Oryctolagus cuniculus: one gene and its partners. The protein of the gene in region 1 interacts with the protein of each later gene in a pairwise test. Links are inferred from orthologs where the notes say so. Each region holds a gene or a part of one and is shown in the gene's direction. Other genes may lie near its edges. The genes, in order: KLHL12, FLNA, INMT, TBC1D10C, TTBK2, PDGFRB and NTAQ1.

Region 1 (4,478 bases):
TCAAAAGGCACAAAAAGAAACCTTTCTACCCTGTGTCATGATCAACCAGACCCTTCCCCCAAAAAAAACAATGTTACCATTTTGTTTTATACTTTGTTTCTTTTATACACATACGATCGAATATAATTGAATGTATCTTCTCACGTTTTGATACAAATAATAGCAAGACGACACCTGCTGCTCACAACAGCATGGTGCAGGGTTGAATGCACACCTTACTGAATCAGCCCTCCTAATGCACGTTGAGGGTTTTTCATCTACACACAACACTGCCGCATACAGTATACATGGCGGATACGTTGATAAACAATTGCGCAGCCAAAGGGTATCTGCATTCATACCTGTGATGACTTCCAAAACTCCGCAGAACTTGCCCCAGCCTTGCACTTCCAACCACAATGTGTAAACCAGGGAGTCTTCGGGTGGGAAGATTGCTTATGGAAGACAGAGACACCAAGCAAAGTAGCAGCCGCCCACCGTGCTGGGGTATCACCAACCTTAGGCATCAGAGGCCGCGCACAGGAAAGCAGTGTGGGCACTGACTTAGGTGGAACTGAGGAGCCCCGGCCCCTAACAATGCGTCCAAGTCAAGAAGAAGCAGAAGGCCTAGCCGCCCCCTCCCTGCACCCCCGGGGACGGCAGACAGGTCCGGCAGGGCTGCTCCGAGACCCTCGCAAGCCCCACTGTGACGCAGAGAACGCCCGAGGTCTCGGGGTTCTCGCCACAGCACTAGTCGGCGCGAGGCCGCCACTGTGGACCGTGGATTTTGAGACAGTTGCAGTGTCTCTGGGTTTCCTGGATGACAGGCAGTACCCGAATCCCTGGCAGGTAAAACGGAGCCCCTGCAGTCAGCGCCTTCGCCTAGAAGCCCTGGGAACGCTCCCCGTGGGGCCTGCCTCGTGGGCTGCGGGCAGAAAGAAACTCGGTTTCAGCGCATCACAGAGCTGGACGCCTGCGCGATCCCCTCCCCGGGCGCCCCCTCTCCTGCTGCTGGCCGAAGCCAGCCCCGGGCACATGCGGGTCAGGTGACGACGACGCCTCACGTGATGCCGACCCAGGGGAGGAGGGGGGCGGGCCTCGCTTGGCATTACGTCATCACGTCGCGCGGCCGCGGGGACCGGAGCCGGGACGCCCACGGTGACGGCCCCAGAGCCTCCGAGCGGGGGCGGCGGCGGCGCTCCGGCTCCTGCTGAGCCGCCTGCTCGCCCCGCTCCCCGCCCCGTCCCCAGGGACTGTGGCCGGGCTCGGCGCGGCCGCTGGGCCCGGGAGCCGAGGTGAGTGGACCGGAGGTGGCGGCAGGTAGCCCCTGCCTTCGTAAGGTGGTGGCCCTTCCCCCATTCCTGGGGCTCCCTCCGAGGAGGAAGGCGGGGGGGCTTCTGGCCTGCGGCACCCGGCGACCCGCGCCCCTCCGCTACCTCTGCCAGGCGGTGCCAGCCTAGCGCCCGGCGTGGTCCGCGGCGAAGACCTTCCTTCCTTCTCGGGAACTGACCCTTACCAGGAGTGGACACCCCGGCCCCGCCCCCAACCTGCCGTGGTGGAACCCCCGTGTTCAGGTGTGATCGGAGGTTCTAGAATAGGGCCCTTCCGAAAGGTAAGGGTGAGGCTGTGCTGAGGCTGCCTGGGGGGGCCGCTGTCCCCGCGCGAGGTCCTTCGGACCCTTGCATCCCAGGGTGGCCCTCGGTTGAGCGAAGGAAGACCTTTGTGCAGGACGCTCGCTCTGATGAATCACCGCCTGGTGTGCAAAGTGCCTGTGGCACAGTCGCTGGGTGGATCCTGTAGAGTGATGTGCGGACCATGGACAGAAGTAGATGAGTTTGGGGTCTTGTTTTTGCTCCTCAAACATCCTGACCGTGAGTTGCGAACTTTTTTTAATTTCTTGGATTATTTTTGAAAGTTTTGGATTCCCAGTAAGATGTACTCTCTTAATGACCACCCCCCATTTCACTCCCAGAAATTGTGCCTGAAGCCAAAGGAGAAAAAAAGGCTGTGAACTAGCACCTGTTCCTTAAGTTGCTGTTAGGTAGGGAATCACTGAGCTGATGCGCACAAGTGAACTTTGGGGCACAGCCGTCCCTTGGTGTCTGCAGCGCATTGGTGCCAGGAGCTGCCACAGATACCAGATAGGCTGGCACTCAGGTCTCCTGTAGAACGCTGTGTTTGCATGCAGCCTACCTAATGCATTGTAACTGCTGTGTAAGTGGTTTTGATACTCTGCTTAGGCAATAATGTCAAGGGAAAAACCGTGTGCATGTATAATACCCATGATTTTTTTTTCTCAAATAGTTCTATCTGCAGTTGGTTGACGGTGTGGGTGGGGAGCCATGGGACAGAGGGCTGACTTGTAACAGGCCACGGCAGCGATGGCGGTGAAGTTGGCAGTAGAGGGATTTTAGGTTTCTATCCTGACAAGTTCTCTGAGTATAGAAGAAGTGCTGTGAATATTGATGTGTTAGCATTGGTGGACGTTCCCAATCGTGTAGAACAGGAAGACTCCTACTGAGGAGTTTTGACGACTCTGGGGAGACCACAGATGGCTTGCGTGGTCTCTGCTATTCAAAGCAGGTCCCAGGTTGTCGTTTGAAATTTCACTTTCAGAAGAAATGTAATTATATTTGGAAATCCTGATGCATAATTCTTTGCATCTTGTATTTCTTTGGAAACCAGTTCATTTTCACCAATACTAGCCTTTCTTGTTCTAAGTTGAATACACTGTTTTTCTTATATTTAATTGTTAAATTTTAATTGTGTACCTGCTAGGGTCCATATGAACCAAGAACCCACCCTCTGAATACTTATTCTCTTATGAATATTAAATAGCCATGATGTCACACCTTTAAGGGATTTTACCTTTTTATCACTTGAGACAATCCCATGAAGATACATAGGCCTTTCTGTTTAGAATACAGTTGAGCACCGATTATAATAAATTGCAGGTGGCAGGGACACTCATGACAGAGGACTTGAGAGGAAGCAGGGCTGCTCCTTAAGCTAGAAGAGTTAGCGGCCAGATGGCGGTGAGCCCAGAGAGCGCAGGGGCTGTCCCTGTGGGCGTCTGTGCCTGCAGAGGTCTCAGCCCCCGTCTGGGAAGCTGATGGCCTGTGTGCCTCTGTTGCCTTCTCTTGCAGTTCCAGGACCCAGGGCCCCCTCTGTTCTTTCTCCATATTGCTTGATGGGAGGCAGGATGGCCCCCAAAGACATAATGACCAACACGCATGCTAAATCCATCCTCAACTCGATGAACGCCCTCAGGAAGAGCAGCACCCTCTGCGACGTGACGCTGAGAGTGGAGCAGAAAGACTTCCCCGCCCACCGGATCGTGCTGGCTGCCTGCAGCGACTACTTCTGCGCCATGTTCACCAGCGAGGTAAGCAGGCCGCACCCGTGCAGCCCATGCCTGTAAGCGCCTCGCCTCGCCTCACCGAGGAAGACAACCCAAGCTTCATATGGTAGTGGAGTCTTGTAAGACGCTGTGTAAGCAGGCAGGCTTATTCACAGTGAGATCCGCACATGCCTGTGCCTTCGTTTTCTCACCTCTGAGTTAGAGATAATAGTGCTGCCCAGTGCGTCACGCAAGGCTGTGGCGAAGACAGAAAATTACGTGTCAAGTGCTTAGGACAGCTTAGTGGGTAATGAGACGTTATTGACTTTGTGTTGGTTTGTTTTTAGAGATTGACTTATTTATTTATTTGAAAGTCAGAGTTACACGGAGAGAGGAGGAAAGGCAGAGGCAAAGAGAGAGGTCCTCCATCCGCTGGTTCACTCCCCAGATGGCCACAATGGCCGGAGCTGCACCCGATCCGAAGCTGATAGCTTCTCCCGGGTCTCCCACGTGGGTGCAGGGGCCCAAGGACTTGGGCCATCTTCCACTGCTTTCCTGGGCCACAGCAGAGAGCTGGATGGAAAGTGGAGCACTGGTGCCTGGATGGGATGTCAGCACTGCAGGCGGTGGCTTTACCTGCTACGCCACAGCACTGGCCCCCAGCTATAAAATTTGCCTTCACATTTTTCTAAGCTTTAATTTTTTTTTTAATTATTTGAGAGGCAAAGTTACAGAGAGAGAGAGAGGGAGAGACAGAGAGAGGTTTTCCATCTGCTGTTTCACTCCCCAAACTTGACCACAACTGCTGGAGCTGGGCCGATCTGAAGCAAGTAGCTTCTTCCAGGTCTCCCTTGTGGATGCAGGGACCCCAGCACTTGGGCCATCTTCTACTGCCTTCCCAGACCACTAGGAGGAGCTGGACTGGAAGTGGAGCAGCTGGGATTCCAAACCAGCATCCATATGGGATGCTGGCACTGCAGGTGGAGGCCTAACTTACTATGCCACAGCTCGGGCCCCTCCCCAAACAATTTTTGACTACTATGCCTCCCCAGCTTCTGATATATGTTTATAATCTATTTTCATTTATTTTTAAATGTTTATTTTTATCTACATGAAAGGTAGAGCAACAGAGAGGGGGAGAGAAGGAGAAAGAGAACCA
Region 2 (3,736 bases), on another chromosome or scaffold:
GGCGAGGGCCGGGTGAAAGAGAGCATCACACGCAGGCGGCGGGCCCCCTCGGTGGCCAACGTTGGCAGTCACTGCGACCTCAGCCTCAAGATCCCTGGTAGGGGCTGTGGGGAGCCAGGGAGGGCTGCTGGGAGCAGGTGGGGGCACAGACCTCCTACCCACCGGGCCACCTCCTCCCTGCAGAAATCAGCATCCAGGACATGACCGCACAGGTGACCAGCCCCTCGGGCAAGAGCCACGAGGCCGAGATCGTGGAAGGCGAGAACCACACCTACTGTATCCGCTTTGTGCCTGCTGAGATGGGCACGCACACAGTCAGTGTCAAGTACAAGGGCCAGCACGTGCCTGGAAGCCCCTTCCAGTTCACCGTGGGGCCCCTGGGGGAAGGAGGAGCCCACAAGGTTCGTGCTGGGGGCCCTGGCCTGGAGAGGGCTGAAGCCGGAGTGCCAGGTAGGCCCGCTTGCCCACCCAGCTCTTGCTCTTCTGGGTGCCCGGGGGCAGTGGGGGGGAGGCTGCCGGCAGCCACGCCATCGGGGCCATGGCGAGGGGCTGAGGGCAGAGGCGCAACCCTCCAGGAGGAAATACCGCTCTCCACAGCCGAATTCAGCATCTGGACCAGGGAAGCTGGCGCCGGGGGCCTGGCCATCGCCGTCGAGGGCCCCAGCAAGGCCGAGATCTCCTTTGAGGACCGCAAGGACGGCTCATGTGGTGTGGCCTACGTGGTCCAGGAGCCAGGTACCGGGGGCCTGGCCGGGGCTGGAGCAGGTCCTCAGGGAGGGAGCCGGGGTTGTCTTCCCCACCACCCTGGGGCCCCCACCACCCTCCACCTGCCTCGAAGCCTCAGAACGCCCCGCCCCGGGCTGTTGGTGGGGCAGGCAGGAGGCCCAGCCTCCGAGGAGCCAGACCTCCCATCGTGCCTGGCCTGGGCTGGCCCAGGATAGCCTCGTGTCCTCTCCCTGCCAGGTGACTACGAGGTGTCGGTCAAGTTCAACGAGGAGCACATCCCTGACAGTCCTTTCGTGGTGCCTGTGGCTTCTCCGTCCGGCGATGCCCGCCGCCTTACTGTTTCTAGTCTTCAGGTGAGGCACTGAGAGAAACTGGCCACCTGGGGCTCCTGGGCCCGGCCAGACCAGAGGCACCGCGAAGCACAGGCCAGGGTTCTGTGCCCAGTAACCCAGCCGGCCCAGCTCTGGGCCCCGGGCCCCTGCTCTGGCCGGGTCCAACCCGCACTTGGGGTTGGCAGGAAGCACCCTGCCCACCGCGTGGAGTTTTTCTCGTGTCTCAGGTCTAAAGGCTTTGAACAGGAGCCTGTGCCCCTTGAGCACCAGGGCTGAGGTTTAAAGAGGGAAAGCCTGCCAGGGTGGGGCCACTGTCCTTCCAGCTGTGGGGGCCCTGTGACTTCAGGGGTCTGGGCGGTGGGGGAGGGGTGGGGTAGTGTGGTGGGGGAACCTATGTCTGAAGCTTGCTGCCCCTAGCATATCAGTGGCTCTCCCTCTTTAAACCAAGTTGGACGCCAGATGGGTAAGTGTGAGCCCTGGGGCCTCCCAACTCTGGGGCCATGTACCGGCCCCGTGCCCGGTCCCCGCCACCCCATCTAACCTCGTCTGCTGTGCTTCCAGGAGTCAGGGCTAAAGGTCAACCAGCCAGCCTCTTTTGCAGTCAGCCTGAACGGGGCCAAGGGGGCGATTGATGCCAAGGTGCACAGCCCCTCGGGAGCCCTGGAGGAGTGCTATGTCACAGAGATTGACCAAGGTGAGGCCCTGTCCCTGTCCGGCCACCCGGCCACCTACCTGCACGGGCCCCAGCGGGGGCAGCGGGCCTCCCCAAAGCCCGGCCAGCCGGCTGGAAGCAGGCTGAGAGTACGTGAGGAAGGTACAGACTTTCTGTTGGCGCCCAGCACGGGGCCCCCCGACGGCTGCAGGGCCCCCTCGATCAGGGGACAGGGGAGCCCTCCCCGACCGGTGGCCCAAGGCCTCGGCCATGAGCTCGCCAGCCACGGCCACTGGGAAGAAGGCCTTTCGTGGGGCAGCGCGACGCGGTGTGTCTGCAGAGGGACGGCCCCCAGTGTAGCCACAGGGCTGCCGGGCCCTTCGCCAGGCGCATGGCACCTGCAGTAGGCTCAAGCACACCAGTGTCACCGCGCAGTCCTGCCCCTTGCCGGCTGCCTGACCCGAAGCAAGTTCCGGCCCGTCCATGAGCCCCGGTTCACGGGCGGGGAGTGTGGCACTCACGGTAGCCGTTCAGGGGAGGCCGGCCGTGAGATGAGGCGGCTGTTTGGCCGGTGGACGATTTCCGTGCCTCTGAGCCTCGATGGCAGGCTGCTTGGGTGTCTAGAGCCTCCGCCCTCAGCCTTCTGCAGGTGTGTGCTGCCGGGTGTGGGCGCCCAGCAGGGCCCCAGAGGAAGCGGAGGGGACGCGGGCTAAGGGTGTGGGGGGAGGACGGGGCAGGCCAGGACCGAGGCTGTCCTCTCGGAGGCTACATGCTGGTGACAGAACCCCCAGGCCCGCAGCGTGCCCTTCTGCTCCTCAGATAAGTATGCCGTGCGCTTCATCCCACGGGAGAATGGGATCTACCTGATTGACGTCAAGTTCAACGGCACCCACATCCCTGGAAGCCCCTTCAAGATCCGAGTGGGGGAGCCTGGGCACGGAGGGGACCCAGGCATGGTGTCCGCCTACGGAGCGGGCCTGGAAGGCGGCGTCACAGGTGGGTCCTCGGCTGCAGCTCTGGGCGTGGCTGAGGCTGCCAGGGCCGAGCTCCCGGCGACGTCTGGGGTGGACGGCCGGGGTGGGGGGACAGCACAGGCCCGGCAGCTGGGGGCGGGACAGGACGGGGTCACCAGGCCGGGCCGGCTCTGCCTGACCTCCCGTGCTCACAGGGAGCCCGGCTGAGTTTATTGTGAACACGACCAACGCGGGAGCCGGTGCCCTCTCGGTGACCATCGACGGGCCCTCCAAGGTGAAGATGGATTGCCAGGAGTGCCCCGAGGGCTACCGCGTCACCTACACTCCCATGGCGCCCGGCAGCTACCTCATCTCCATCAAGTACGGCGGGCCCTACCACATTGGGGGCAGCCCCTTCAAGGCCAAAGTCACAGGTGAGCCTACGGCCAGGCTGCTGGTGGCCACCCGACGCCAGGCGCTCGCACCCCCTCTCAGCCCCACCCGCTGTGCCCTGCAGGCCCCCGTCTCGTCAGCAACCACAGCCTCCACGAGACGTCCTCAGTGTTTGTGGACTCCCTGACCAAGGCCACGGGCGCCCCCCAGCACGCCGCCGCGGGCCCAGGCCTTGCCGATGCCAGCAAAGTGGTGGCCAAGGGCCTGGGGCTGAGCAAGGCCTACGCAGGCCAGAAGAGCAGCTTCACGGTGGACTGCAGCAAAGCAGGTGGGCAGCTGGGGCCGCCCCGGCCTCCCCGAGGACACGGGACGGCCAGCCCCGGGCCCCCGCCTTCTCTACCCTCAGGAGAGGAAAGGGCTGGCCGGGAGCAGCGGCTGGAGCGGCCCCTGCCACTCAGGCAGGGAGGGAGACGGGGAGGAGGGCTGGGCGCGGTCAGCAGCGGGGCCCGTGACCGAGGCCCATCCCTACCTCAGGCAACAACATGCTGCTGGTCGGGGTTCACGGCCCGAGGACGCCCTGCGAGGAGATCCTGGTGAAGCACGTGGGCAGCCGGCTCTACAGCGTCTCCTACCTGCTCAAGGACAAGGGGGAGTACACGCTGGTGGTCAAGTGGGGCGAC
Region 3 (4,510 bases), on another chromosome or scaffold:
CCTTGCGGCGCCGGCACACCAGGTTCTAGTCCCGGTCAGGGCGCTGGATTCTGTCCTGGTTGCCCCTCCTCTAGTCCAGCTCTCCGCTATGGCCCGGGAGTGCAGTGGAGGATGGCCCAAGTCCTTGGGCTCTGCACCTGCATGGGAGACCAGGAGAAGCATCTGGCTCCTGGCTTCGGATCAGCACAGTGCGCCGGCCACAGTGCGCTGGCCATGGCGGCCATTGGAGGGTGAACCAACGGTAAAGGAAGACCTTTTTCTCTGTCTCTCTCTCTCACTGTCTAACTCTGCCTATCAAAAAAAAAAAAAAAAAAAAAAGAAACCAGAGGACTTAAAGTAGGACAGGTTCCCTTCCATAATGCAAATGTCCCTCACCCAGCCAGCCCAAGCCTGATGGTCTCCATGACAGTGGGGATCCTGCAGGCAGATGGCCCCTGGACTGGAGCCGCAACGACTCCAGCCTGCAGCCCCCTCGCGGCGGGAGCCGGGTCCTCCTCCTCCATCTCTTGCCCTCTCTGTGGCCGGCATATGGTTCTGTTTCTTTGGACAGCTCTGACTGCTGCAGACTCCTGGCGGCTTCCCCTCCCACAGCCCTGCCCACCCGGTGTTTAGCGCTGTCCTTTGACCAAACCCTCCTCCAATTATGTAACGCCAGCACTGCAGTTTTCCACCCTGGGACCCGGGGTGAGTGACTGGGGCCCAGTCGGCCCGGGGCCCAGGCTGCGGCTGTGGGGCTGTTTGTTTACTTAAAGCAGAACAAGATATTCTTGTCCTTTCCACTTCCAGGGCGGCAGCTGGGACCTCCAGGGCAGCAGATTCATTTCTGTCTGGTTGGCGGCCAAGTGAAAGTCATTTCCTGGTACCAAAAAGGAGACCAGGCTTTTCTCTATTTGTGGGAGGTTTTTAACGACCTGTGCCCATTTTAGAGGGAAGAACACTGAGGCCTGAGCGATTGACTTACCCAGGATCACATGATGGGTCAGCCACAAATAACCTTGACTGTTTATGCTTTCTGATTGGCCTCCTTGTGCTCATTCACGGACACCAGTGGAGGATACTCTGCCTGCATTGCTGAGTCAGCAGTCCTGCTCTGTGTGCCGGGCCCTCCTCCTCCCGTGCTCCCCTGGGCTGGTGTGCTCAGACACCCGCTGCGCCCCACTGACCACTAGGGGACCAGCTGGGGATCTCCCTGTCTACCCAGGCCCACCACACCTGTGCCCAGGAGGCTGATCTGGTCCTCACAGCCTGTGCTGTGGGTACGTGGGTGGGACGCTAGGGGTCTGACCCCTGCCCCAGCTCACCCTGCAGTGAGAGTGGAACTCAGGGCTGGCCACTTTCACTTGCTTCACTGATGATGTGGGTCAGTCCCTAAGGGAAGCAGAGCCAGGGTGCCTGCAGCCCCGGCTGCCATGGCTCTGGGTTCAGAGGAATTGAGTGAGGGTCCCTGGGTCTCCTCGTGCATCCCCGCAAAGGGAAAACTCCAGGACCAGTGGATGTAGGAGGAGCCAGGAGATGAGGCTGGGACTCTGGGGGCGGAGTCTGGAGCTTGGGAGCCCTCATAAGAGCGGGACAGGCAGGCGAGGGTGTACCCAGGACCACCATGGAGGGCGGCTTCACGGGGGGTGATGAGTACCAGAAGCACTTCCTGCCCAGGGACTACCTGAACACCTACTACAGCTTCCAGAGCGGCCCCTCGCCTGAGGCGGAGATGCTCAAATTTAACCTGGAGTGTTTGCACAAGACCTTCGGCCCTGGTGAGCCTCCCCTCTTCTCTGCAGGGCCCGGGGTGGGGGTGGGGGGCGGCGAGAATGTGTCCCAGGGCACCTCCGCCCCTCTAGGGGCTACAGGGTGCAGTGGAGTGGGGAGAGCTGCAGGCCACTGCCCTCTCTGGGTGCTGGGTTGCTGGTTGTCTGCCTGCCGCAAATCAGGGCACACAGTGGGCAGGGCACAGCACCTAGCGGTCCCCAAGCTGCTCTCCATGGGTCCCTGATCTTCAGGGTGGGACCGGGAAGACTCAAGTCCAGCATTGTCCCTGCACAGCCAGGCCCCCGAGGCTCTGTGGAGGCCAAGAGCAAACAGTGGGATTGTGGTGGGGTACGGGTAGCCCCAGCCCTGCAGTGCACAGCCTTCACCTGGCTCTGCCCATGGCCTGGAGAAGCCCGGCTGGGGAGTCGGCAATGCTGGGTGGGCTCCCCGCCCTGCTGCAAGCCTGCTGGCCTGGCCTGCAGGCCCAGGGGCCTTGACTGGCCCATCTCTACCTGCCTCCTGCACTAACCCCTGTCCCTCATCGTGGGGGCCCAGCGACTCGGTCCTGCCCTCCCAGCGTGCACAGCCGCGTCCTCCCTTTGGGTGCTGGACTGGGGAGCAGCGAGGCTGAGTCTCCTGGTGGTGGGGGAAGCAGGGGCTGAGAGCCTGCTGGAGCCAGGTGGGGGAGGCAGGAACCACAGCACAGCCTGGCTGCGTGTGGACCCTCCAGCAGGGAGCTCAAACCCAGCCTGCAGAGGGACCTCATTCCAGCTGCCAGGCAACCCTCAACTCACCCTTGGGGTCTTCCCAACTTGCCGCCCCCTCAGTCTCCGCTTCCTGGTCCTGGTCCTCTTTCCAGGAGCCTGCCTGCTCAGGCCTGGACATGCCTCAGCCCCCATTAGCCTGCATCTTGAGGGGCCACTGTTCCCCAGGATGGATGCTTGGAGCACTCCAGCCTGGTTGTCCCCCAGTGCAGGGCCTGGAGCTCCTGGTCTCTGGGGAGCAAGATGCTCATGTGCTGGCTAGAAGATGCTGGGCTCATTGTAACCTTTGTCAGCCTCAGTTTTCAAATCTGTAAAATGGAAATAACCATGGTGGTTGATCTGCAGGGAGGTTCTGAGGTGTAAGTGTAAATGAATGCGTATGAGACATTAGGCGTGGGGCTTGGCCGACAGGAGGCTGCCCAGCCATGATAAGTGCCAAAGTGCCATGCTCGAGTCTCTTCCCCGGACGGCAAGACCAGGGTGTGTGTCCCCCTCATCTTCTGTCTTAGGTCTCCTCGTCTATCGCTGAGACCCCTTTTCCTCTCACAGGCGGCCTCCAAGGGGACACACTGATTGACATCGGCTCGGGCCCCACCATCTATCAAGTCCTCGCTGCCTGCGAGTCCTTCAAAGACATCACTCTCTCCGACTTCACTGACCGCAACCGGGAGGAGCTGGCCAAGTGGCTGAAGAAGGAGCCTGGGGCCTATGACTGGACTCCGGCGCTGAAGTTCGCCTGTGAGCTAGAAGGGAACAGGTAGGTAGTGGTTAGGGTACTGGGGCAGGGTCCCTACAGGCTGGACATCAGCCCCCTTCTGCAGAGGACTCTCTGGCCTCTCAGTGGCCCCTTGTATCGCAGGGATGGCTGGAAGCTCACGGATGGGACCAGATGCTCTAGGGGTAGGGTCAGGGTAGATGGACCCGGCAGCCTAGGGCCGTGGGACTGTGTTCAAATGTGATACAGCTTAGTAAAGGCCACATACCGGGAGCCTGCCTGCCTGCCTTCCACCAATCATCTACCTACATGCGTTCCTGTACTCTGTGTAACCATCCGTCCACCCATCCATCTACCCACTTTCCCATCTTCTCGTCTTCCTCTACCACTCACTCCTATTGGGGCTGCATTACATGTGACACAGCCACCACCAGGCCCGACTTATCTAAGCTTCTCCCTCTCCCTTGCCTTCCCACACTGAGGCAATCACTTAGGTGAATTATCTATTTGTTATTCCTTGGCATCTTAAAAATAATTCTCATCACATCTCTATGCTTAAGCAGCCTGTTCCTTAGTTTTATTCTCCTCAGGATGTTCTATCAGAGTAATTTGCTCTGGGTTATCTTCTGGGCTTTGCTTTTCACCACTCAACATTATAGCAACATCCACATGTGGCCTACAGCTATGTCATCCATTCATCCATCCATCCACCCACCCACACTTCCATCCATCCTCACCCATCCATCCATCCAACCCACCCATCCATCCACCCACCCACCCACCCATCCATCCATCACCCATCCATCCATCACCCATCCATCCAACCCACCCATCCACCCACCCACACTTCCATCCATCACCCATCCATCCAACCCACCCATCCATCCACCCACCCACCCATCTATCCATCACCCATCCACCCACCCACCCATCCATCCATCCACCCACCCATCCATCCACCCACCAACCCATCCATCCATCCATCACCCATCCATCCAACCCACCCATCCATCCATCCACCCACCCACACTTCCATCCATCCTCACCCATCCATCCAACCCACCCATCCATCCACCCACCCACCCATCCATCCATCCATCACCCATCCATCCATCCACCCACCCACACTTCCATCCATCCATCCATCCATCATCCATCCATCCATCCACCCACCCATCCATCCACCCACCCACACATCTATCCATCACCCATCCACCTACCCACCCATCCATCCATCCATCACCCATCCATCCATCCACCCACCCACCCACACTTCCATCCATCC
Region 4 (4,396 bases), on another chromosome or scaffold:
GGCAGATGGTTTCCAGGGACTGCTTGCCGCGGTCCACGTAGTCACCCAGGAACAGGTAGTTGCTCTCCGGGGGGAAGCCGCCGTACTCGAACAGCCGCAGCAGGTCGTAGTACTGGCCGTGGATGTCACCTGGGGGCCGGGGGCGGGGTCAGCGAGGAGGGGCCCCGGGCCTGCGCGGGGGAGGGGCCGGCGGGGGGCTCACCGCAGATCTTGAGGGGCGCCTCCAGCTCCAGCAGAATGGGCTGGCTCAGGAAGATCTCCCGGGATTTGAGGCACAGACCACGGATCTCGTTCTCCGTCAGCTGCACATTCTTTCCGGGCCGCGAGCCCTGCACTGGGGGGCGGGGGGAGGGGGCTGAGCACCCGGCCCCCGAGCCAGGAGCAGGTGGGCGACACGAGTGGCTCTCCGCGGGCACCTGCGGGGCCGCCGGGGACCCTCCCGGCCGCGGGGGCTGCGGGGGCTGCGGCGCCTGCCCTGGCCGCCGCCTCAGGCCTCCCAGGACCAGAAAGACCCCCACCACCCTCGAGGCCCTCCCAGGGGGCCGTCGCCCAAAGCCCGAGGGCGCACGGGTTCTCCCCTCAGCCCAGGAGCCGGGCCCAGCGGCGAGCTCGCGGGCCGCCTCCGCCCAGCCCGAGCTGGTCCGGGAGGGGCCGGCTCGTCCGCGCGCCACTTCCGGGCCTGGCGGGGCCCGGGGCGCGGCGGTGGGCACGGCCGCCCCGCCACCCCCGCCAACCTTCCAGCAGGCGCCCGATGATAGAGTCCAGGTTGAGCTTCTCGCTGTCGGACATGGCGGCGCCGCCGCTCGGGCCCAGCAGCTCCGGGCCCACTCCTGCCTCCCGCCCGCCCGCAGCCTCCTTCCGGCCTGGCGCTGCTTCCGCCCGCCCCGGGCCGCCCCCGGCCCAGGCCCCGCCCCGCCCGGCCCAGGCCCCGCCCCGCCCCGGGCCAGGCCCCGCCCCTCCACGCTCTGGCGCCGCCGCTGGACGAGGAGCGCGGCGGCGCGGGGCGGGGCCTGGCCTAGGAGCTGGGGGGCGGGGCTTTCGGGGCGGGGCCGAGCCGGGTTCCACCCCCGCGGCACCGCCCAGCCCGTTTCAGAGGCTGGGGGACCGGAAGGACCGTGGAAGTTGTTTTTCTCTCGCACGGGCCGGGCGGCCTGGGCGGCCGGGTGGTGTGAGCACGTGAAGACCCGTCTGCCCAGACGCTGCGGTCACGCTCTGCCAGTGCATACAAGGGAACCGAGTCCCGGGGCTGGCGGGTGACCCCCAGGCAGCTGACCAGCCCCAGGACATCCGCGCGTCCCTCGCTCGGGATGCTCCACGCTGTCCTGTGCATGCTAAGTGCACTTTTTACTAAGTCCCGCAATGACCTTTCCAGGGGCGAAATAGTATCCCATAGGGTGCAGGTGGTGACGGGCAAACGCGACAGCAGCCGCGGTCCTCACTGGCACCCCGAGCTTGCCACCCAGGTGGCCTGGCGCCGTCGCACGCAGCACAGGAACCCGAGGCCGCCGCCGGGGAGGGGAGGAGCTGGTGGCTCAGGGGCGCTGCGGGGGCAGGAAGAGCTCGGAGAGGAAGGGGTGACCCCCCCCTTGGGAGGGGCCCCCAGCGGGTTGCTGAGGCTGTGAGGAGGAAGTGGGAGGAGGAGGTGAGGGGTGAGGTGCAGCGGTAGGTGAGCAGGGCGCCTCGGGCCGGGGCCGGTGGGTTCGGGGTCTGGGTGCCAAGGCCTGGCCCTCCTGTCATTTCACAGCCTGGCTGCTCTCCCCCCACGCCCGTGAAAGGACACGGGGGCTTGGCGGGATGCCCTGAGACCTGTCCCTTCTGACCCGGGCACCGGGAGGGCGGGGAGCGGCCCCCTCACAGTGGCTCTCCACGCCCGCAGCTGGCCGCAGCCCGTGGCCTGGAGGGTCTCGCACCATGGCCCGGGCCCTGGGGGAGGAGCTGCTGCAGACCTCCGAGCTGCAGGAGGACTCCAGCTCCCTGGGGTCCGACTCGGAGCTGAGTGGGCCCGGCCCATATCGCCAGGCCGATCGCTATGGCTTCATTGGGGGCTGCTCGGCGGAGGAGCCCGGGTGAGTGAGGCGGGGCTGGGCGGCAGGGGGTCGGGGCTGAGGGTGGGGCGGGGGCGGAGTTCTTGAGGGAGACCCTGCTTTGGGAGGGTCTGGCGTGGGGACTGGACACTGGGGACTCGGCCAGTGTCACCGTCCCCAGGCGCCAGGTGGAGTCCTACTGATGTGGAATCACCCGGGTGGGGGTGGCTCTGTCTGTCTCTTTCGCCCCCACCCCGGAGACTAAACATCCTTCCCCTTTTAATCGTGGGCCCTGGAATCCCAGCTCCGAATCCCAACTTCGCCTGCTACCAGCCCTTCCTGTACAGACAGGAAAACAAGTTCAGAGACAGACAGAAACTTGCCCCAGGGCACACAGCACAGCCGACACTCAGGACTCCTGGTGTCCAGTGCGGGACACCGTCCGACCAGCTGCCTGGGGATCGTCCACGTCCCTGTCCCCGGAGGCAGCCGACCAGGCTCCCCGCCCCACAAACACCCACTCACCCCATCATTCTGCTCTGCCCTGGCCCTGTGACAACCGCTGGTAGCCTCTGGGACACAGCTCACTCTGGGGGCTTTCTGGGGATCTCCAGGGCCACTAACGGGCCTCACCCGGGCGGCCAGCAGGGGTGGGGGACAGGTGTGGCCCGAGGGGACGGCTGCCCGGCGCCTGACACCTGTGTCCCGTGCCCCCAGGACGGGCCAGCCCCCGGCAGGCCTGATCCGGCAGCGGGAGATGCAGTGGGTGGAGCTGACGCAGCACTGGGAGAAGACCATGTCCCGCCGGTACAAGAAGGTGAGGGGTGCCCTTGCCGCCAGCCCGCTGCTGTGCTCGGGCCGCGGGGATGGCCCTCACCGCCCGCCTCGCCCGCAGGTGAAACTCCAGTGTCGCAAGGGCATCCCTTCGGCCCTGCGGGCCCGCTGCTGGCCCCTGTTGTGCGGGGCCCACGTGCGTCAGAGCGGCAGCCCCGGCACCTACCAGGTGAGGGCGCGGCAGGCCCACCTCCCCCCGGGGGGCTGCGCCACACAGAGCCCTCACGCCCGCCTTCCTGCCCGCCACAGGAGCTGGCAGAGGCCCCCGGGGACCCGCAGTGGCTGGAGACCATTGGCAGGGACCTGCACCGCCAGTTCCCCCTGCACGAGATGTTTGTGTCCCCCCAGGGTCATGGGTACGAGGCAAGGGGTGCCCAGGGACCTGGTGGGACCTTCGGCCCGGTCGCCCCGATCTACCGCTGCTGCCGTGTGTCCCAGGGCACCTGGGGGAGGGTGGGAAGGGGTGCCCGGGGGCTGGCCCTGATGGGGTCTCCTGGCACAGGCAGCAGGGGCTCCTGCAGGTGCTCAAGGCCTACACCCTGTACCGGCCCGACCAGGGCTACTGCCAAGCCCAGGGCCCCGTGGCCGCCGTGCTGCTCATGCACCTGCCCCCGGAGGTGAGTGGCCGGCGACCCAGGACTCTGACCCCCAACCCCAGGGACCTGGCCATCCTGAACTCCGGGCCCATGACCCCAAATCCCAAGTAACACTGGCCTTGGGGACATGGTGTCCTGGGGACCCAGGGCCTCAGGACCACTGACCTCATGACTCTCAAGACCCCAGGGACTTGGGACCCCCGACCCCAGCCCTTACTCCAGTGACCTCGGTAGGGGTCTGGTGCGGCTACCTTGACCTCATGACTCCTGATTCTGAATCCCATGGCCGTGACCCCTGACCCCAGGAACCCAGGGACCGTCCAGCCCAACACCCCGAGCCCTGTTTCTCGCGCCTCTGTCTCGGGCAGAGGCTCTCAGGCACCGGGCAGGGGGGGCCGCACCCCTTTCCCAGCCCCCTCCTGTGCCCGCCCCTCCAGGAGGCCTTCTGGTGCCTGGTGCAGATCTGTGAGGTCTACCTCCCCGGCTACTACGGGCCCCACATGGTGAGAGGCTGGGCATGGCGGGGCGGGGGGCAGCAGCCCAGGGGCCCGGGGCAGCGGTGGTGCGGGTGGCGCCAGGCTGCGGGCTGACGGCCGTGGCCGCAGGAGGCCGTGCGGCTGGACGCCGAGGTGTTCTCCTCCCTGCTGCGGCGGCTGCTCCCGCGTGTGCACAAGCACCTGCAGCAGGTGGGCGTGGGGCCCCTGCTGTACCTGCCCGAGTGGTTCCTGTGCCTCTTCGCCCGCTCGCTGCCCTTCCCCACGGTGCTGCGCGTCTGGGACACCTTCCTCAGCGAGGGTGAGTGGGGCGGCCCGTGGCCAGGCGGGCGGGAGGCTTGGGGCGGGGAGGGTGTGCCTGGGGAGGAAGCCAGCTCATCAGCTCGGACTTCTCCCTCTCCAGGCCCTCCTGGGGCCCGGGATGGGGGGGCCGAAGGTGGTGCCCGGC
Region 5 (4,187 bases), on another chromosome or scaffold:
GAAGGTGTGGCATTTCCCCAAGAAGAAGATTCTTGTAAGAACAGTTCTGAGACTGAACATAGGATTTATATTTAACCTTTCTATACGATTTTATATATATATATATATTAAGATTTAAAAGCGAGATTTATCAGAGTCAGAGACCTCCATCAGGGAGGGGGACTTCCAAGCGAGGAAAAACCCTTCTATATTCTTATTTAGCTTTAATGACGCCTCTTGTTCGTTTCTGTCTTTTAACTGTTAAAGTAAAATGGAGCTTATACGTCACTGCACGCGCTCTGTACACCGTAGACCGCTGGGAGTCCTGCGAGTATTATGAGGAAAAGCACTGCCCACGAGGGGTTTAAGAGACTTGAGTTTTGCGTCTGCTGCGAATTAGTTTTAGAGCTTCTGGAAAGTTGTTGAACTGGGGTTTCCCTTCTGAAAGCGGCGGGTGAGGATGGGATGGCAGAAGCTCTGGGTCGGAAGGTTTTCCTTCACCGGAGAGGCTGGCACGACCAACACGCAATGCAACTGGAACCCGCAGCACCTCTGCTCCGCCCTCTTCGCTCTTCTTTCAAAATCTTGAGCGACTCCCGCACACTCTCGCTTAGCATCCCACGCAGTCCGCCCCGCGGCTCTCGACCGAATCCTTGGCGGCCGTGTTTCAAACAGGGCAGGCAGTTCTGTTCTTCGTGGGCTGAGAGACCGCTGCGGCACAAAGGCTGACGTCCTTGGTGGAAGTCTCCGTCCCTTTTCCTCCTCACTCCTCTAGGCCTTTCCCTGGTCCCCCGCGGCGGGAGCTCCGTGTGGCGCCGTTGCGGGCAAGCCCGGCGGCTCGGGCTCTGAGGAGGCAAATGGCTCCTTTAACCTGTGACCCGGCCTCACGATCCCGGGCCCTTCCCCGCAACCGCCTCGGTGTGTAAATTCATAGCGTGACGAAGCAGCCGCGGTTTTCTGTCAAAACAAAACAAAACAAAACAAAACAAAAAAACAACACCTCAATCGTGGCGTCACATGCACGCCTCTCTAAGTTAATCACTGAGCTGGGAGAACACCTTCCTGCGGCCATCATTCATCTCAGAAGCCCTGCCTCTCTCCTCGGGACAGGCGGGCAGTTGCGGCTGGGGTTGGAACTACGAGGCCCAGAATCCCCGCGCGCATGCGCGTTGCCATTGTGATGCTCCTTTCCCGGTAACTCGCCCTCTCAGGCAAACCTGAAGATAGCGGCAATTCTCCGGTGGGGGGCGGAGACGCTCCCTGCCCGACTCTCCGCCCCCTCCGTGATAGGCAATGGGACCAGCCAACCGACGCTGCGGGCTCGGAACGCACTCTCCAATCAGCACCTGTGGCGGAGAGGTGGGCGTGCGCACTGGCGGGGCAGGTGGGCTAGGCTGTGCCGGGTTGCGAAGGGGGAGCATAACGTCGGGTCGGGTCAGCGGGCGCTGCAGTAGTCGCCGCAGCGGCGATGGGAGCGGTGGGGACTAGGCGGCGGCGGCGGCGGCAAGAGGAACAGGGGCTGGTACAAGAGCAGCGGCTGGGGGCGGCCAGCAGCAGCAGTAACGGCAGCAGCCGCCGCCGTCGCCAGTAAGCGCGGACGGTACCTGAGGGGACAATCCACCGGCCGGCCCTCGAAGCCGCGCTCAGGTCCCGCCGCAGTCGGCGGCGGGGGATGGGCAGGCGGCGACGGTCCCGCCTGCCGAGGGTTGTCCCCTGCCGGTCCTGGCCCTGAGCTGGACCCCAGCCCTCCGCCTGAAATCCCCGCGTCCGCCACGGCCCAGGTAGGACACACCCCCCGCACCCCTAGGGCGCCCCGGGTGGCCCCGGCCCCGCCCTCCCCCAATCCTGACCCCCTTCCTCGGGCCGCAGCCCTAGCGGAGTGGCCGCGCCTGGCGAGGAGGAGAAGGGCACCCGGGGCTCGTAGGTCGCTGCCCACGCCCCGGACTTCTGCCAGACCCAGTCACTTTCCAGCTCGGAGACGGTTCTGGTTCTGCCCCATTTCCCCGAAGGCGCCTGCCGCGTCTCCCCCCTCCCCGAGGCTTCGGGTGTCTTCGCCGAACTTGGAGGGTCATGAAGCTTGATTCTGTTTCTCTCTCTGGGTGACCCACATATCGCTGAGACTCATTCCTCTCCGGGTGCCGGAACCTGGGTGCACCGAGGGTTCTTAGGAATTAGCAGTGCGCCTTTCCCAGCCCGCCCGACTGTCATGGAAGGGGGCATAGGACCGGGGAGTCTTGTCTGCTGTGTTGCAATGAGGAGGAAGGCCCGGGACTTTCTGGTACTTAGGTGCTGAAGTAATGAGCCGAGGGATTTGTTCGTCACTTGCTTCGACAAAGATGATGATGTTGACACCGTGGGATGCTGTGGGAGGGACAAAAGACTCCACACATTCATACTGTCAAATCAGAGAAGTAAATCAGCCGTTGTTGTGCAAGGGTACTTTATCTTACAGGGAAGTTAATTTCGATTCAGTCGTGGTTGCGTTGGAGATAAAATGACATTGAGTTGTACTCTGCTTTGAATTAAAGTTGATAGGTGGCAGCAATACTGGAATTAACTCTTCTCTCACCTAGCTTTACAAATTTGTTCCTTCTTGGAGGAACACTAAAGAGAACAGTTTTATTGTAACCTTTTAATGATGTAAAGGTGTTTTCTTATTCAGTAGAAATTCTCTGTGTGTGCCTGGGTGTGTGTGTGGGTGTGGCTGTGAATGGGCCCAGGTCATATACACCGAGGATCCACTCTGTTTTCTTACAGTGTTGATTCTGAGCCCTTCATAACAGTTGCGTTGGTATCTGCACACTGATTTGCCAGGTAGACCAGGAAGATGTTTCTGCTGTTTTTCTTTCAGACAAACGGAATAGAGTAGCATTTATTTAGTTGGGGAAAAGGGGGAGTGATTTATAGAGCAGAGTGAGTGCTGTGTGTTGCTTCCCCTCCTCCCCTTTTTTTAAAGAAGCAGTAATGGTGGTAAATACAATGTAATATGACAAATGTTGAAAATTGCTTTTATTTATTTATTTTTTTGAAATTGTATTTATTTATTTGAAGGGCAGTGTTACAGAGAGAGGAAGAGAGTGGTCTTCCATCCCCTGGTTTACTTCCCAAAGGGCCACATTTGGACCAGCCTATAACTTCATCCAGGTCCCCCATGTGGATTGCAAGGGTTCAAGTACTTGTGCCATCTTCCACTGCTTTTTAATTTTTTTTTTAAGATTTATTTATTTGAAAGTCAGAGTTACACAGAGAGAGGAGAGGCAGAGAGAGAGAGAGATCTTCCATCTGCTGGTTCTCTCCCCAGTTGGCCACAACAGCCGGAGCTGCACACATCTGAAGCCAGGAGCCAGGAGCTTCTTTGGGGTCTCCCACGTGGGTGCAGGGGCCCAAGGACTTGGGCCATCTTCCATTGCTTTCCCAGGCCATAGCAGAGACAAAGAGCTGGACTGGAAGTGTAGCAGCTGGGACTCGAACCAGCGCCCATATCGGGGGTCGGCGCTTCAGGCCAGGGTGTTAACCCACTTTGCCATAGCGCCGGCCCCTCCACTGCTTTCCTAGGTGAATTAGCAGGGAGCTGGTCAGAAGTGGAGAAAGCAGGACTTGAACTGGAGCTCATAGGGAATGCTGGCATTGCAGGCAGCAACTTAACCTGCTGCACCACAGCCCTGCCCCTGAATAGCTGTTCTTTTTTTTTTTTTTTTTTTTTTTTTTTGACAGGCAGAGTGGACAGTGAGAGAGAGAGAGAGACAGAGAGAAAGGTCTTCCTTTACCGTTGGTTCACCCTCCAATGGCCGCCGCAGCCAGCGCGCTGTGGCCGGCACACCGCGCTGATCCGAAGGCAGGAGCCAGGTGCTTCTCCTGGTCTCCCATGCGGGTGCAGGGCCCAAGCACTTGGGCCATCCTCCACTGCACTCCCTGGCCACAGCAGAGGGCTGGCCTGGAAGAGGGGCAACTGGGACAGAATCCGGCGCCCCAACTGGTACTAGAACCCGGTGTGCCGGCGCCGCAAGGCGGAGGATTAGCCTAGTGAGCTGCAGCGCCAGCCACTGAATAGCTGTTCTTAAATCTAAAAAGAAAAAAAAAGTTTCATTGTGTATACTTGGATGGTATTTGAGGTATACTGTAATCTATTCAAATTGGGAACATATTGAAATGAATCTTTAATTTAGAAGCTTATGTGTTTCTTGTGTGATACATTTTCATCAAGGTAC
Region 6 (2,632 bases), on another chromosome or scaffold:
CAGCCGGTGTCATGGGCCATCCACAGCCCACCATCGAGCAGAGGGGCGGCAGCTCCTCTGGGCCAAACCTGGGTCATGGGCTCCCCAGCGTGTGGCAGATGGATTAGGGGTGCTGGGAGGGAAGGCCAAGGCCGTGATGGGAGGCAGCACCTGTCCGACACCCTCCCAGCCCCCTTGCCTGGCTGCTGTGTTTCCAGAGATGCCAGGCTCCAGCTCCCCTGGGCCCCAAACCCAAGACCCTGAGCCACTCTGCCTCTCTCCCCAGCTACGAGATTATGCAGAAGTGCTGGGAAGAGAAGTTTGAGATTCGGCCCCCTTTCTCCCAACTCGTGCTGCTTCTCGAGAGGCTGCTGGGCGAGGGTTACAAAAAGGTAAAATGAGGCAGGGTGGGGGCAGAGTTGTGATGCAGAAGTTGGCCCCCGATTCGGGGCTCTGCATGCGGTGCTGCTGTTTGGAGGAAACCCCCATAGCCCTCTCTGGGCCTCCGTTTCTCTGCTGCTGCTGGGCAGACCTGGGCTGCAGCGATGAGCCTGCCTTTTTGGTGGCTCAGAGCTCTCCAGTGGGCTCCTATGGGGACGCTGACTACTCGGCACAGGGCGGGGCCGCAGCCCTGGGGTCCTGCTGCCTTCCCAGGCCTCTGCACCCAGGCCAGATCTGGGGCTCTAGGACCACAGCAACCCTGTCTCAGGCTGCCCCAAGGCACACAGAGCCGCAAGGACCCTAAAACGCTGCCCCGTCCCGCAGCAGGAACCAGGGAGAGGCGGGGAGGTGCAGACACGGCCTTTCCCGAGGTCTGGCTCTCACCCCGTGCCCATGCCCGGCGGCGCTCCCAGGGACCAGGGAGACGTTGTAGAGTCATCGCCTCCCCATGGCGAGGGCCCCTGGGGGCAATGGGGGCAGGAGGAGAGCACTAACCTGCTGGCTCCGCAGTGGGGAGGGGTGAGGCACTCGGGCTGCGCTGCCTCCGCCCCCTCCCTCAGTGGGCGGGGCGGCTTAGCAAACCCCGTTCTTCCCTGAGCCCCTCCGTGGCCCGACTTGCTCAGCTGGTCCCTGAAGCCATCTCTGTTTCTCTGGTTCCCCCCATGCCTGGCGGAGCAGAAGTACCAGCAGGTGGATGAGGAGTTTCTCAGGAGTGACCACCCGGCCATCCTCCGGTCCCAAGCCCGCTTCCCTGGGTTCCACGGCCTCCGATCTCCCCTGGACACCGGCTCTGTCCTCTACACGGCCGTGCAGCCCAACGAGGGCGACAACGACTACATCATCCCCCTGCCTGACCCCAAGCCCGAGGTTGCTGATGAGGGCCCCCTGGAGGGCTCCCCCAGCCTTGCCAGGTAGCTGTACAGCGTGCATGGTGTGTGTGTAAGTGTGTGTGTGTGTGTGTTTGTGTCTGTCTGTCTGCCTGGGGCTGAGCTGGCTGCGGGTGCCATGGCCGAGTACTCATTCCTATGAGTAAACAGGACTGACCTGGGATGACGTCAGGTGTGAGGCAAAGACCAGTCATAGAAGGAGGGGCTGGGGATCATTTGTGAGCCCTGCCTTTTAAGAGGCCCTGGGTACCCTCCCCTCTCTGGGCCCTGTCGTAGCCCCAAGGACAGGGTCATGGCCAGTCTCAGGTCTGTGGTCTGTCCTTCAGCCCTGGGAGCCCAGCGTGGCTGTAGAGGCACCCACAGCAGTTCAGGCCAGAACTCAGGCCAGGAAGGAGGCTGGTGGTTTTCGTCTCGCCTTGGGATGCAGTGAGGCTGCCGTGTGGGACAGCCCTGGCTGTGGCCTGGGAATGCTGTTGAGACAGGATCCTCCTCGGCTGAAGATCGGGGCTGCCCAGGAGGCCAAACCCACCCCCAGACGAGATCCAGCCCAGGGTGGAGTGAGTGGGGCAGCCCCTGGCTGTTACCACTGCTGTGATACCTGCGCAGGCTTCTCCCCTGCAACCCTCGGTTTCTCCCGTGGCACTGGGAGTGCACATAGGCCGGTGCGGGCCCTTTGTCATTTTGGCTGTGCCCATGGAGGAAGCCAACGTCCTCAGGCTCCAGGGAGACGACACAGAGGAGTCACTGTAGAGTTCAGCTGCCAGGGGTTGTGAATGCTGGCCTTGCTCTGTGCCCTCATGCAATCGGCTCCACCTCTCAGAACTTCAGTTCCTCTTCTGTAAAATGACCACAGTGAAAGCCCTTCAGGTAGGGGTTGGTGGGAGGATTAAGAGACAGCACAGTCCTTTAGGAGGGTAGATGCCGCTGGCTGAGGAATGGACTTTGGGGTCAGCTGCACCTGCTCGGAAGTCCTGGCTCCTCCGCTCACCTGGGCCGGGGACATCACTTCCCTGAGCCACAGGTCCTCCACGGTGCAGCCCTTGCATAGTCTCTACAAGGACTATGGGAGCCAAAGCGTGCCCAGTGGGACACTCAGCCAGCTCGTCCTGAGAGCCGCCTGCGTGTTCCCATGTCCCCTCCCCCCCTCACTCACCCGCCTCCTTCCTCTAGCTCCACCCTGAATGAGGCCAACACGTCTTCCACCATCTCCTGTGACAGCCCCCTGGAGCCCCAAGAAGAAGCAGAGCTCGAGGCACAGGTGGAGGCCCCGGAGGAGCCCCCGCCGGAGCAGGAGCAGCCGGCAGATCCAGGCTGCCTGGGGCTGC
Region 7 (3,736 bases), on another chromosome or scaffold:
TGCCTTTGCTACAAGCCAGGGTTTTAACCTGCTGTGCCACAGTGCCGCTCCCCCCTTGGTTGGCTTTTTTAAATTATTTATTTATTTATTTATTTTTTTGACAGGCAGAGTGGACAGTGAGAGAGAGAGAGACAGAGAGAAAGGTCTTCCTTTTGCCGTTGGTTCACCCTCCAATGGCTGCCGCATCCCACGCGCTGCGGCTGGCGCACCGCGCTGATCTGAAGCCAGGAGCCAGGTACTTATCCTGGTCTCCCATGGGGTGCAGGGCCCAAGGACTTGGGCCATCCTCCACTGCACTCCCGGGCCACAGCAGAGAGCCGGCCTGGAAGAGGGGCAACCAGGACAGAATCCGGTGCCCCGACTGGGACCAGAACCCAGTGTGCCGGCGCCGCAAGGCGGAGGATTAGCCTGGTGAGCCGCTGTGCCGGCCCTTTGGTTGGCTTTTAAAAAGGCCAGCTGTTTACAGAGTTATTCTCCAGTTACATTGTGACGCAGACTCTCCTTCTATCTCCACTTGTGAGCCTGGGAAGTGGAGGGGTTGAGATTTGAACCAGGTACTTGCCTGCCCTTGCCTACAAGGTTCCCTGTTCTGTCTCTTATTCACTCTGTACTATACACTTGGGATTCCCACTCACTTCTCCAGGAACGCCTTGCAGGTAAGAACTTGTAATTTTTATCTTTGTGTCTATGTTTCAGCAGCACAGTTTCCTATTATTAATAAGGAGCAAGTACTTAAAAATAAGTTATAATGAGAGTCTGAAGTGAGCTAAGGCAGAGATGACTTCTGGCAGGGGTAGAAGTTCCCAAGTGGATTCCTGGGGGAGAAAGCTTTTGAGCTGGAGCCTGTGTGGCAGAGGGAGGCCGGGCAGGTTGCTGCAGGGGATGGAGTACCATGAGCAAGGCCCATGGAAGGGAATGGAGGACTGTTAGGGGAGCAGCTGTGAGTCACTGAGCAGGAGCACAGAGAGTGTCTGTTTCTGCCTTCCCAAGACAGAGTTGGAGACAAGCAAAGCCCTCGCTCTTATGACTCAGCAGTTCCAGTCTCGTTGCCTTTTCCACTTCCCAGGGGTCGAATGGGCCGAGATGCAGTAACGGGCTTTGTAAACTCTGAGCTATGTGCTGTGGAAGCGGAAGACGGTCGGTAGAGCGTGTGTTTTATCATACTGCTGCCTGTGAGAGCATTTTACCCCTCAGGAACCAAAGCAGCAGACTGCCCTCATGTCCCTTGATAACTGGAGGTCCCCTTCAGCCCTCGGCTGCGCTGGTGAGAGAGAGAGAGTGTGTCCATGCTGTGGGGCTGAGCAGGAGAGGCTGTCCTTAACCTTACCCTAATGCCTACAGATTGCAGCTCGGCTGTTGTTCAATTTTTCCCCTTTTAATTAGGAAAATAGCACAGAACTGAAAAGTTACATCCTGATTTCCTCTCCAGGCTAGCTTCTCAAGTCGTCCCCTTTGAGGTTTTTGGGGTAGTGGTTAAGCTGTCAGGTAAGATGCCTGCATCCCACATGGGAGTCCTTGGGTTTGATACCTGGCTCTGGTTCTGACTCTGACTTCCTGCTAATGCAGACTGTGGGTGGCTTAAGCAGTTGGGTTCCTGCCACCCTTGTGGGAGACCTGAGTTGAGTTCCCAGCTTCCAGCTTTGGCTTGGCCCAGCCTCGGTGGTTGTTATGGGCATTTGGAAAGTAAACAAATAGATGAGAGTTCTCTCTGTCTTTGTTTCTCAAATAATAAATAGACAAGAAGTCCCCTTTGTTAATTGTTCAGAGGAGATCCTTACACACTTCCTCTGTACTCATGCATGCATATGTACTTCTGAATCAAATGTGTGTCCTTATATGCACATGGCTTACAAAAAATAAAGCAGGGGGCCAGTGCTGTGGAGTAGCAGGTAAAGCTGCTACCTGCAGTGCCAGTGTCCCATATGGGCACTAGTTCGAGTCCCATGCTACTCTACTTCTGATCCAGCTCTCTGCTATGGCCTTGGAAAGCAGTAGAAGATGGCTTAAGTCCTTAGGCACCTGCACCCTTGTAGGAGACCTGGAGTAAGCTCCTGGCTCCTGGCTTTGAATTGGCCCAGCTCCAGCCATTGTGACCATTTGAGGAGTGAGCCAGCGGATGGAAGGCTTCTCTCCTTCTCTACCTCTGCCTCTCTGTAACTGTATCTTTCAAACAAACACATAAATCTTAAAAAAAAAAAATGTGTTGATATTCTGCACTTTGCTTCGTCTGTCCAGCTATATACATGGAATTTTTTTTTAAGATTTATTTTTTATTTATTTGAAAAGCAGAGTTAGAGAGAGAGAGGGAGAGGGAGAGACAGAGAAGTCTTCCATCCACTGGTTGACTCCCCAAATGACCACAATGTCTGGGGCTGGCCAGGCCAAGGCCAGGAGCCAGGAGCTTCTTCCAGGTCTCCCACATGGGTGCAGGGGCCCAAGGACTTGGGCCATCCTTCACTGCTTTCCCAGGCCATATGCAGGGAGTTGGATGGGAAGCAAAGCAGCTAGGACTTGAACTGGCATCCATATGGGATACTGGCGCCACAGGTGGTTGCTTTACTCACTGTGCCACAACACTGGTCCCAATGACATGGACATTTTTGCATTAAAAAAAAAAAGATTTAATTATTTCCTTGAAAGGTGTAGTTGCAGGGAGGGAGGGAGGAAGGGATAGAGGGAGTGAGAGAAAGTCTTCTATCCCCAAATGGCCCCAATGGTTCACTCCCCAAATGGGCCCAATAGCCAGGGCTAGCCAGGAGCTTCTTCTAGGTCTTCTGTGTGGGCGCAGGGACTCAAGTACTTGAACCATCTTCTGCTTTTCCAGGTACACTAGCAGAGAGCTGGATGGGAAGTAGAGCAGCCAAGACTTGAACCACCGTCCATATGGAATGTTGGCGTTGCAGCCGGCAGTGTAATCCACTATGCCACAACGCTGGCCCTGACATTTTTGCATTTTCCACATAAATGTACTGATGTCTTTTATCATCTGCGTGGTATTTGATTATACGGCTGTGACACAGTTTACTCAGCGTTCGCTGCTTGATAGGCTCCTGGACTTTTCAAAATTATAAACAGTGCCGCGGAGAGTTTCTTCATGTTTACACTTCACGCGCTCATGGCCATTTTTCGGTGGAATAGTTTCCTAGAGGTGAAGTTGCCGGGTCAAAAGGGTATACAGTTAATGTCTGTAACCATTTCCATCGTTTATTTGACCACCTTCCCAGACACTGGACTTTTAGTCTGTTTTTAGGGTTTTGTGTTTGCTTTATTGTATTTTGCTGTTTTAAGGAGGGTTGTATTAGTGTTGTACTTGTAACCTTTTTTTTTTTTTAATGTGCATTAAGGGGCCTTGGCATTCACCACCCAGATGTGCTTTTCTTCCTAGGATTACCACGTTGTTTTGCTCCATGTGTCAAGTGGAGGACAGAGCTTCATCTATGACCTTGATACTGTCCTGCCCTTTCCCTGTCCCTTTGACACTTACGTAGAAGATGCCTTTAAGTCTGATGATGACATTCACCCACAGTTCAGGAGGTGAGGAGATTCGGCTTGGATTTACGTACATACTTTCTGAAGTAAGACACTGGGATCATGCTAAGGTTATTATTTTATTTTTTTTTATAAAGATCACTTGTCTTGGCATCATCACTGAGTTGATATTTTGATATTTTGAATGACGTGCATGCTACACTAGAGATTCCAGATGTTTTAAAAGTTTTAAAGGTTACCCATCGCA

The links.
Region 2: the proteins of KLHL12 (region 1) and FLNA interact in binary tests that used the Homo sapiens proteins (3 or more experiments, as listed by UniProt). The two-hybrid records come from large-scale screens. The link is inferred for Oryctolagus cuniculus from reciprocal best matches to the Homo sapiens genes KLHL12 and FLNA.
Region 3: the proteins of KLHL12 (region 1) and INMT interact in binary tests that used the Homo sapiens proteins (3 or more experiments, as listed by UniProt). The two-hybrid records come from large-scale screens. The link is inferred for Oryctolagus cuniculus from reciprocal best matches to the Homo sapiens genes KLHL12 and INMT.
Region 4: the proteins of KLHL12 (region 1) and TBC1D10C interact in binary tests that used the Homo sapiens proteins (3 or more experiments, as listed by UniProt). The two-hybrid records come from large-scale screens. The link is inferred for Oryctolagus cuniculus from reciprocal best matches to the Homo sapiens genes KLHL12 and TBC1D10C.
Region 5: the proteins of KLHL12 (region 1) and TTBK2 interact in binary tests that used the Homo sapiens proteins (3 or more experiments, as listed by UniProt). The two-hybrid records come from large-scale screens. The link is inferred for Oryctolagus cuniculus from reciprocal best matches to the Homo sapiens genes KLHL12 and TTBK2.
Region 6: the proteins of KLHL12 (region 1) and PDGFRB interact in binary tests that used the Homo sapiens proteins (3 or more experiments, as listed by UniProt). The two-hybrid records come from large-scale screens. The link is inferred for Oryctolagus cuniculus from reciprocal best matches to the Homo sapiens genes KLHL12 and PDGFRB.
Region 7: the proteins of KLHL12 (region 1) and NTAQ1 interact in binary tests that used the Homo sapiens proteins (3 or more experiments, as listed by UniProt). The two-hybrid records come from large-scale screens. The link is inferred for Oryctolagus cuniculus from reciprocal best matches to the Homo sapiens genes KLHL12 and NTAQ1.

The regions. Positions count from the first base shown.
Region 1 is NC_091444.1:18,666,261-18,670,738, reverse strand, and holds the start of KLHL12 (kelch-like protein 12), read left to right. Parts: upstream 1-1,664; 5' UTR 1,665-1,720; coding exon 1,721-1,850; intron 1,851-3,125; coding exon 3,126-3,364; intron 3,365-4,478. UniProt on the Homo sapiens protein: Substrate-specific adapter of a BCR (BTB-CUL3-RBX1) E3 ubiquitin ligase complex that acts as a negative regulator of Wnt signaling pathway and ER-Golgi transport.
Region 2 is NC_091453.1:132,577,958-132,581,693, reverse strand, and holds part of FLNA (filamin-A), read left to right. Parts: coding exon 1-97; intron 98-183; coding exon 184-450; intron 451-597; coding exon 598-735; intron 736-963; coding exon 964-1,079; intron 1,080-1,619; coding exon 1,620-1,752; intron 1,753-2,529; coding exon 2,530-2,706; intron 2,707-2,878; coding exon 2,879-3,097; intron 3,098-3,180; coding exon 3,181-3,384; intron 3,385-3,590; coding exon 3,591-3,736. UniProt on the Homo sapiens protein: Promotes orthogonal branching of actin filaments and links actin filaments to membrane glycoproteins. Anchors various transmembrane proteins to the actin cytoskeleton and serves as a scaffold for a wide range of cytoplasmic signaling proteins.
Region 3 is NC_091447.1:21,980,762-21,985,271, forward strand, and holds the start of INMT (indolethylamine N-methyltransferase), read left to right. Parts: upstream 1-1,585; 5' UTR 1,586-1,600; coding exon 1,601-1,754; intron 1,755-3,059; coding exon 3,060-3,267; intron 3,268-4,510. UniProt on the Homo sapiens protein: Functions as a thioether S-methyltransferase and is active with a variety of thioethers and the corresponding selenium and tellurium compounds, including 3-methylthiopropionaldehyde, dimethyl selenide, dimethyl telluride, 2-methylthioethylamine, 2-methylthioethanol, methyl-n-propyl sulfide and diethyl sulfide.
Region 4 is NC_091432.1:4,643,986-4,648,381, reverse strand, and holds the start of TBC1D10C (carabin), read left to right. Parts: upstream 1-1,586; 5' UTR 1,587-1,662; exon of another isoform or gene 1,663-1,876; 5' UTR 1,877-1,911; coding exon 1,912-2,066; intron 2,067-2,741; coding exon 2,742-2,841; intron 2,842-2,919; coding exon 2,920-3,027; intron 3,028-3,107; coding exon 3,108-3,214; intron 3,215-3,360; coding exon 3,361-3,475; intron 3,476-3,891; coding exon 3,892-3,957; intron 3,958-4,059; coding exon 4,060-4,249; intron 4,250-4,396.
Region 5 is NC_091443.1:65,909,523-65,913,709, reverse strand, and holds the start of TTBK2 (tau-tubulin kinase 2), read left to right. Parts: upstream 1-1,188; 5' UTR 1,189-1,272; coding exon 1,273-1,338; intron 1,339-1,623; exon of another isoform or gene 1,624-1,760; intron 1,761-4,187.
Region 6 is NC_091437.1:37,429,444-37,432,075, reverse strand, and holds part of PDGFRB (platelet-derived growth factor receptor beta), read left to right. Parts: intron 1-265; coding exon 266-371; intron 372-1,098; coding exon 1,099-1,331; intron 1,332-2,477; coding exon 2,478-2,632. UniProt on the Homo sapiens protein: Tyrosine-protein kinase that acts as a cell-surface receptor for homodimeric PDGFB and PDGFD and for heterodimers formed by PDGFA and PDGFB, and plays an essential role in the regulation of embryonic development, cell proliferation, survival, differentiation, chemotaxis and migration.
Region 7 is NC_091437.1:149,148,943-149,152,678, forward strand, and holds part of NTAQ1 (protein N-terminal glutamine amidohydrolase), read left to right. Parts: intron 1-2,824; exon of another isoform or gene 2,825-3,094; coding exon of another isoform or gene 3,095-3,148; intron 3,149-3,385; coding exon 3,386-3,534; intron 3,535-3,736. UniProt on the Homo sapiens protein: Mediates the side-chain deamidation of N-terminal glutamine residues to glutamate, an important step in N-end rule pathway of protein degradation.